Oryzias latipes: one gene and its partner. The protein of the gene in region 2 purifies or fractionates together with the protein of the main gene of each other region. This does not show direct contact. Links are inferred from orthologs where the notes say so. Each region holds a gene or a part of one and is shown on either strand. Other genes may lie near its edges. The genes, in order: cdc6 and mcm7.

The links.
Region 1: the proteins of mcm7 (region 2) and cdc6 purify together in Homo sapiens (affinity purification with western blotting; 3 studies listed by BioGRID). This does not show direct contact. The link is inferred for Oryzias latipes from reciprocal best matches to the Homo sapiens genes MCM7 and CDC6.

Annotation. Positions count from the first base shown.
Region 1 is NC_019859.2:2,063,570-2,067,883, reverse strand, and holds the start of cdc6 (cell division control protein 6 homolog), read right to left. Parts: upstream 2,909-4,314; 5' UTR 2,800-2,908; intron 2,255-2,799; 5' UTR 2,248-2,254; coding exon 1,941-2,247; intron 1,871-1,940; coding exon 1,643-1,870; intron 1,567-1,642; coding exon 1,367-1,566; intron 1,251-1,366; coding exon 1,102-1,250; intron 1,017-1,101; coding exon 910-1,016; intron 836-909; coding exon 696-835; intron 615-695; coding exon 514-614; intron 441-513; coding exon 116-440; intron 46-115; coding exon 1-45. UniProt on the Homo sapiens protein: Involved in the initiation of DNA replication. Also participates in checkpoint controls that ensure DNA replication is completed before mitosis is initiated.
Region 2 is NC_019868.2:6,627,262-6,631,752, forward strand, and holds the start of mcm7 (DNA replication licensing factor MCM7), read left to right. Parts: upstream 1-1,586; coding exon 1,587-1,617; intron 1,618-2,969; exon of another isoform or gene 2,970-3,012; intron 3,013-3,499; coding exon 3,500-3,579; intron 3,580-3,776; coding exon 3,777-3,941; intron 3,942-4,491. Other genes in the region: cohesin subunit SA-1, read left to right, coding at 519-569. UniProt on the Homo sapiens protein: Acts as a component of the MCM2-7 complex (MCM complex) which is the replicative helicase essential for 'once per cell cycle' DNA replication initiation and elongation in eukaryotic cells.

The DNA of each region.
Region 1 (4,314 bases), on a different chromosome or scaffold from region 2:
GGACACCTGCCGCTGGGCGCACAGCCGGCTGTACACCTCGTGAAGCTGAAACGGACCGGCCCGGTTACACGTCTGCACGGACACTGTGGTTCTGACATTCAGGACGACCTCTCACCTTCCCCAGGCTGGCCTCTCTGCTCTTCCCGCTCCGGACGAGCAGCAGGAGGCAGCAGACCAGCAGCTTCTGCTGCAGAGGGAAGCTCTCGCCGTCCGCGCTCTGGGACGCCATGCGCTCGCCGTAAACCTCCGACAGAACCCGGGCCACCTGCGGGAGGCCGACCCGAGACGCTGCATGGGACAGAAAGAGACTCGGTCTCAGTTTGGACCAAACATCTTCCTCCAGCTGAAGCTTGAGGGGGGGGTCTGCCTCACCTGGACTCTCGTTTTCGGGCTGCAGTTTTTTCTTCCTCTGGTCGGATTCTACCATCTCCACCGCTCTCCTGAAAGCAGCGGAAACTCCGGATCAGAACCGAGGACGGTTCCTCACCACAGATCATGAACCACCTCACACACCTGCAGATGTCCAGAGCTTTCCTGGCGTCTCCGGACACAGCAGACACTTTTCTGGCACAGAACTGGACCGCAGAGGCGTCCAGAACCCCTTCGGCCGACACCTGGGAGGACGGGCACAGCAAAAACCGGAGTCACACCGAGAACTGCGGCCCAAGAAGCCTTGGAACCCGAGCGGCGCATACCTGTGCCAGCCGGTCCTTCACGATGGCCGTCAGCTCGTCCCGGCTGTAGGGAGCAAAGTGCAGCAGCAGGGGGCGACAGTGGAGGCGGGCCTGCAGCCGCGGCAGGATCCGGTCCGTCAGGTCCAGAGCGTTGGCAATACCTGCAGGCAGAGGAACAATCAGAACCAAAACCCAAACACAGAGAAGTTGAAACAGAACCGATTGGAGGTTTTACCGATGAGACAGAGGCGGGACTTGGGCAGGAACGGCCATTCAAAGATGGTGTAGAGGACGTCCTGAGCTTTGCTGTCCAGCTGGTCCATCTCGTCCAGAACCAGGAGCCTGAGGAGAACACCGGTCCGTCAGGGGAGGGCACAGCCAGCGGGGGCGTGCACCAACAACGCTCAGTCACTTCTGGTTCACTCACACTGCGGGTCCGGAGCCGGTCAGGAACCTCTGCAGGCCGTTCTGCCCCCCAGGGGCTCGGAGTTTGTCGGCCAGCAGCGGGAAGATGGCGTGCGAGCTCCTCAGACTCATGCAGTTCACCGTCACGGCCTGAACGCCGGCCAGCTCGCCCTGCAAACGCAGAGTAGGAAACCCAAACCTCACTGCAGTTCTTTGGCGTCTGCTGAGACTCAGACGCCGTCCCGGGCCTCACTAGAACCCCGGAATGAAGCGGGTCGCCCCCTCACCTTCATCTCCTGCAGAACACAGTTCAGGCAGGCCGTCTTGCCGGTTCCCGGAGCTCCTGAGATATAAAGGCTGCCGGGTCGGCGCTGCAGCACCTTCTCCTGCAGGAAGCGGCGGATGGACGCCTGCTCGGCCTCCCGGGACAGCAGGCGCTCCGGGACGGCGGTGTGGAGGGCCTGCTTGACGCTCTGAAACCTGGAGTCTGACGAAGAGGAGAAGCCAACTATTTACTCAAATCTATGTTCTGTGGATCGTCTGATGGACGTTTTTCTTCTTACTTTCTGCAAACAGCCGAGCTACAGGCGGCCGCCTCTCCTTGTGATGTTGGACCGGACTTCCTGTGGGCGTTTCCTGCCGCCGTGGCTGTCGTGGCGAGGAGGGGATCAGCTGTCTGCGAGCAGAGGCGGGGCAGTTCTCGTCGCTGCCCAGTTTTCTTGGAGACGGCCGGCTCTGCTTTGGAGGAGAAGCCTGCAGGTCTGAGCCGAGGTTGCAGCCGTTTTCCTGACCTGTGGAAGAAAAACGGAATTTTATACTGGGGTAAACATCTGCAGGGGGTAAAAACGGTCAGGGTCTCACCTGTGCGCTTCCGTGGACTGAGCGGCAGCCGGGTCTGGAGCGCCGGAGAGGAGGGTGGAGTCGGCAGTCGGGGTCGCCTGGGTGATAACAGAGGTTGGACGCTGCTCTGCTGCTTTGGGGGGCTGGCGGGGAGGCGGAGGGGTGACAGTGGAGGGTCCGCGGGCCTTTGGGGTGAAAGTTGACTCGGGGTGAAGGACTCGGGTTTGGACGGAGGGGCCAGTGGGGTCTTCTGGGAAACCCTGCAGGATTTACGGCGAGGGAACTGCAGCGTGGGCTGAGATCCACTCTGAGAGCGAGTGCTCGGCATGGTTACTCTGGGATGAAAAAAACAACAAGAGGAGGATGAGAATTATGATGACAGCGGATTAGAATTGTGTCTCCTGACGTTTGATCTATCGAAACCTCCCATTTAGGGTAAACTTTGTCTAAACAGAGAATGAATGAGTCTGTCTGAGATCATTAACCTTAATAATAGAGTTTTATCTTCTCCTAAAGGCATTCGTAAGGTAACATGATAATCCAATCACATCTTTAATGATCGACGCTAAAAGTTAACCCTATGATGACAAAGATCTATGAAGGAAACAAGTTGGCTCTTTAATGGCGCCAAATTGTAGTTTGGGAATCAAACCGTGAATTCAGATCATAAACATATTTGCTGCTTTAAGAAAAACACAGAATAATGAATAGAAAAATGTAGATTCATGGTTTCGGGAATGAGAGTGTAACATTTAAACAAAATCTCCACAACTGTGCTCTTTTGTCGTGAAACAGACCCTCGGATTTCTCTCTCAAACAAACTGCAACATTATCAAGTTTGGTTTTAAACTTTAGACCGAACAGATGCGGATAAACGTACCTTTCTGAGATCCTAAAGAAATCCTCTGAAAAACAGAGAAACGTCCTGCAGGATTAGATTAAAACCAGGATCCAGATTCTGTCCGAACCGCTGAACTGAGATCAAACTTGCGCCAAAATTTCCTCCGCAACTCCTCCTCCATCCGCCGGATGTCCCGCTGCTGCTCCCTGATTGGTCATCATGACGCCGGCCGCGACGCTCATTGGTTAAACAACCGGATGTTGCGTCATCTCCGTCTGCTCACACATAAACTGGTGGCGGGAATTGAATCGGAACTACGTTTGGCGGGTCCTTGTTTTCCCCGGATTGTAAAGACGTTTGTGTTTGTTTGCCTTTAAAAATGTTTGTTTAAATTAACTGAATTACTGTAATTAATAAACCAATTAAATTAAATAAACTGCATTTTGTATTTCTTCGTTGTGCTCATATGAGATGAAACTGTCATGGATCAAAGACAGTTTCTTTACGGTTTAGTTCTTTATGATGCATTTCATGTTTTTATTTTCTTTATTAGATCTTCAAAAGATGAAACACACATTCACATACCGACAACATAAAATAAATAAAAAATAAGAAAATAAAAAAAACATCAGAATTGTAGTTCACAATAGTAGGGTTTGTCATACAACGTATGATCTTCAATAAAAATGGACAGCTTTATTACGTTTTTGTTTTTCATCAATTTCAGCAATATAAATATAAAAAGATTTCTTTATGAAATGTATTTAATAATGGTTTGATTTTTAAAAATCTGCTCTTATGAATGAAAAATTTCCCAGAAATTAATATATCCATATATTAATATTATGTATTAAATGCCAAATATAATAATTTATTACCACAAACTACACCAATTAACCCTTGTTCTATCCTAGGCACTTTAACATTGGGAGTTGGGTCATCTAGACCCACTAGACAGAGCTCTGAACCTTTTTTCTTCAATGATTTGTGATCTTCACTGGTGTCCATGGATTACATGAAATCTTTCCACCTTTATCCACCTTTGTCATGGTAGGGAGAACACCTCAATGGAAGGGGGGGTCATCTAAGATAGAACAAGGGTTAATACGCTGTGTTTTTGTAATTGAATAGAAAGAGGAAAATGAAACTTTGATGAGCACCAAAAAAAAAACTCCCAAAAACTGTAAACATATATACATTCAAAAAACAGACGACCAAGTGTTTTCTATGTTTATATTGCATAAAGAACAGTTATTTTCTGGAAAACCAAAAGGTATATGTAGTACTTACTTGCATGGATAGACTTTGTATTTTTGGAAAATTTGAATATTTAACCCTTGTGCTATCTCACATGACCCCCCCCCCCCCCCCCCCCCCCCGTTTTGCATTTCATCTTATTCCGAATCCCACAATAATACTTTTTTCCAGACAATTAAAGATTTCATTCCTAAGATTGATGACAATTTTAGAAATTCTTGTGATTCAGAAATAACTTTGCAGGAATTAGAGAAGGCTTTAAGCTGTCTCTCCAATGATAAAGCTCCAGGATGTGAT
Region 2 (4,491 bases):
TCTGCTAAAACTATGTAAAGGCTAAGCTACAAAGATGAGTTGTAAGTTTTTTTCTTCACAATGTGACGTGGTCTGGCCGTACTGACCTCTGAGATCACCAGCAGACCTGCGCCTGAGGACCTGATGACAATGAAGGTCCAGTTTCATTGAAACTTTTAGAAAAAGTAATAAAAGCATCTTAAAATGGATCCTAAAGCCGACTGGGAGCTAGTGCAAAGATTTCCAAGCTGGAGTAATGTGCCGCTACTTTCAGGTTCTGGTTAAAAGGCACAATAAATATGTCCTCTATAGTCAGAAAAGAACATGTGAAAAAGACCAGAAACCCCATTTTCATTGGAGCGAGTCTGTAAAGAAGAAGTAGAGATCCTGTTGTGAGCTAGCTTTAGTTTTTGTTCAAAGTTGAGACGGTTGGAATGATCTGTAAATCAGTTTGTACGGTTAGTGTTCCGCAAACTGTTTTGGTTGTGAACTATTTGATTGTGAAGTTAAAAGCGTCCTCTGGTTGTGTTTTCTTTCAGCCTTCTACAAGGCACACCTCCGTCAGCGTCCTGGATGAGCTCTTTGACTGAAATCTTTCGGGGATCCTCCAGCCAGATCTTCTGGAGCTTCAGGAGTAAAAAGTACTTAAAAAAAAGGTTTCTTTTTCTGTTTGAGAGCTGTTGCCCTTTGTAACTTTGTTTATAAATATTTTTGTTTGTTGTAAAAGATGAAATATTTTTGAAAAGTTGAAATGTTTATATTTTATTGGAAGTAATGTTCGAAACCTGTCAGCTTTTTTATAAACTGAAAGTGCAAGGACTTCTTAGTATGTTGTATTGTTGGCAACATGTGTTTTGTTAAACAGTTTTGTTTATTTTTTTAAGACTCTTATTCAAAAGTGTTGTGTTTGGTGTTTCATCATTTTTGATTTTGTATTTCAAAATGAAATTAAATGTTGTAAAACACAGGTATCGGCCCTGATTGATATGTGTGATGGGAAAACATGTGTTAGGTTTTGAATGATTTAAACATATAAAGCAGTCAACTATATGCTTTAACAACCATGACAGATCATAAAAATAATAGAGCCATTAACCAGAGCTGAAAAAGATACCAGTGATTGCATAAAAATCTCTTACCTCTAGTTTTGTTTACACATTCAATGAGAAAAATTACCTATAAACATGTTTGCTTTTGCATTTTTTTCTATCAAACAAAATGTAGTTTAGGGTTGGATTTTGCCCTGTACCTCCTTTGTCTTGTAGGTTCAGTCTGTTCATGCAAAATCTTATCGTCACATTTCGCGCCATTCCTGACAAACTGGGCGGAAGTTTATCCAGTCACGTGAGACGTTGTCTCCAGCAACTTTCCCGCCACTATCAAATCCCGCCCCTCCTCTGTGAAAGCCGCGAAACTATTGGCTGATGCGATTGTCAGACTCGCGCCACTTTTTGCTCTCCGACCGACAGGAGCTGGGTGCTTGTGAATGAGTTCAGCACTCCAAGAATAGAAAATAAAATATCTATTTAAGCTTTACGTTTGACTTCATCTGGGCTTTGTAGCGTTGCGTTACGAATCATCTGTCGCGGAGCTGAACGCCTGCAGCCATGGCGCGAAAGGATTATGCGGCAGAGAAAGGTAAGGACTTGTGTGTCTGTGGAGAACAGCATGGCAGCAACAGGTTGGCCGGATTTCCTTTTTTGACAAATATCTTTAAACGAAAAGCAAATCGTGTGAAGCTGCATGTCGCTGAACATTTCATATGAAGATTTACGTGTTGATGATGTCATTCATTAGTGAACTTTATCTCATACACTACTTTATCTCACCTGTAATGCCAGTTTTATACTTTTAATTTCTATTTGTCGTGGTTACATTACAGCACGGTGTGTTAGAGTAACCCGTTAAGACATAACTACTCCTAAGATGGTTACTAATAAGTTGGTGAGTCGTACTTCGTTGGAGTTGGTGACTCCGCGGTGACCCGGATGGAGCCTTAAACAAAGGAGCAGGCGCCACACTCAACTTCAACGCACATGCCCTGCGATGGTGGCCCGCAGAAAGTTGACATTTCACAATGTATATAAACAGTCTGCCGCCTTTAACAACAACTTTATCTTTACGTACAAATATGAACGTATATTTTTAACCAGCATAAATAAAGTGCTTTTCATGATTGGGTAACTTCTACAATTTCCCTTTATGGTGAAAAGGCTTTTAAACACCACAAAATCACAGGTTTTGTAGTTCGTGTACACAGAGTCCAAATGTGTGGCCAAAGTAGAGACTCCAGCCTTTTTCCTGAGTGTTAGCATGCTAGCTGCGTAGCTGTTGTGGCGTCCGTGAACGGGCCATTTTGTATTTAGCGCTTCGTGCGGTGACTCAGCCGGCGCTGCTGCTGCTGCTGTAGAGCCGCGCAGTCCGTTCCCTTCCGTGAAAACAGACACGCTAACACTTCAGACTCAGGGTTTTGAACATCTATACAACGTAACTACTGACAGACCCTTTAAAAAACTTGTGTGGCAACAAGCAGAGTCAGGAAAAAACACACACAAGAACACAAAAAACGATGCAACTAAATTGTGCTCAAACACCTCTCAGTGTATGTAAACGGTACTTATTATGCGCCAAACTAGTTTTCATGCTGTTACATGGATAGTTTATGGTCCCCGGGTAAAAATAATTTATGTTACCGTTTTTGGATCAATATATTTCGGGTTTGCGCATGTTTAGAACACCCCTTGGGACTAGTTTTTGCCGTCTCCCCCCTTACCGCTGGGCTATTTATCCTATTAAAGATGCGTTTGGTCGGGGCGGCGTGTACGAATCACTACCCTGCTAGCAGCAGCTAATGATAAAAGATGGCTGGCCGCGGTTAGAAAACAACAGCATGGACTGCTTTTAAGAGCGGAGGAGCCGCGGAGGGATATGAAGTGACGCGGCACAAAAGCCATGTGCTGCTTTGTTTACAATAACATCCTCGACCAGATACGCAATAAAGCCACACTGGCGCTTTCCCGTTGCTACCTACAAGTAAGTTAAATGGTTTTTATCGCCACACAAAGGCTGTTTGTTTGTTAATTCCGTTAGTTCCGCGGTTCTGCTTCCGAAGTTGGGGTTGAAGTGTTTTCAAAAAAGAGGGGCGCCGAAGTGAATGCGCGCTTGTTGTTGTTTTATTTACAACGCGCTCTGAGGAAAATCCGCTCCAGGAAGCCCGTTTGTTGTGTACCCGAAAATCGCGCTAATGTGCGCACCTGTGCGAAAACTAGCTTCCATCAGGGCTCCGGCGGCTAATTGTGTGTTACAGTAGGCAATAGTGACTCATCGAGATTACAGGATGCCATGTTACTCAACAAAGAGGGTCGTCGCAGGACAACAAATTAGCTCCCAGTTTGCAGGCCTGCAGCTTCAAATTGATAATCATTCTGTTATAGGAATATAATGCATAAAACTGTTTTTGCCAACAGCATTCAAACCGCCTTTGTTTGTATTATTAAGACCGGGGATTTGTGTTTTGCAGAAAAGTGCAAAAGGTTCCTGCAGGAGTTTTACACAGAGGACGGCAATGGGAAGAAGGTGTTCAAGTACGGAGCACAACTTGTGAGTACAGCCAATGCACAGCACATGCATTTATGGCAGATGGAGGCGTTTCAGAGAGCGCCTGTTTTCTCTTCTCATTGTCATTATTATTCCAGTTTATCCACCATAATCTGCTTTTTAAATCAACCAACTGAGTCCTTCCCATCAGCTTGTCAACATGCTTGTTTTTCTAATAGCTTTGGTGTGTTTGTGGATAGGTGGCTTTGGCCCACAGGGAGCAGGTGGGCCTCTTTGTGGAGCTGGACGACGTGGCTGAAGAAGACCCTGAGCTGGTGGAGAGCATCAGTGAAAACGCCAAACGCTACACGGGCCTGTTTGCCGACGCCGTCCACGAGCTGCTGCCAGAGTACAAAGAGAGAGACGTGCGTTTTAGCACATTTTTTGTTGTTGTTGTTCTTATTATCTTGTTGCATGGATTATTGCAGTTTGTCTGCAAACAGAATTGTGGTCATCTTTAGTAGTTTTTTGACAATCTTACATAGCTTTGTGGTAGAAGAAACGTGTAATTGTTGTTTTGGTTCTATTGTAAAAGCATTTTCAGTGGTCTTTTAGTTATGATTGTGTTGTTTTTAGGTGAAATCCATGTCATTTCCTAGGGCAGGGTAGGAGCGGGGGCTTGTGGCCAGCATAGCTTCTACATAACAGTCTTTTGCAGAGTGGTCTTCCATCTGCTTCTGATTCACAACAATTTTGATAAATAAGTGCAATGTTAAGCTATATGTCCTCCATCATGAGAACAATGTCACCCAAAACACAATTTCCATCATAGCGGGTCTTTAAAACCGCCCCACACTGACGACGTTCTGCTGTCAGGACTACATTGTGGAAGCAAACGGAATAAAGATGAGCTCTTTTATGCTGTTTCTATCTCAACTGAGCGAACCATCAGCCGGTCCATCAATCTGAATGTGT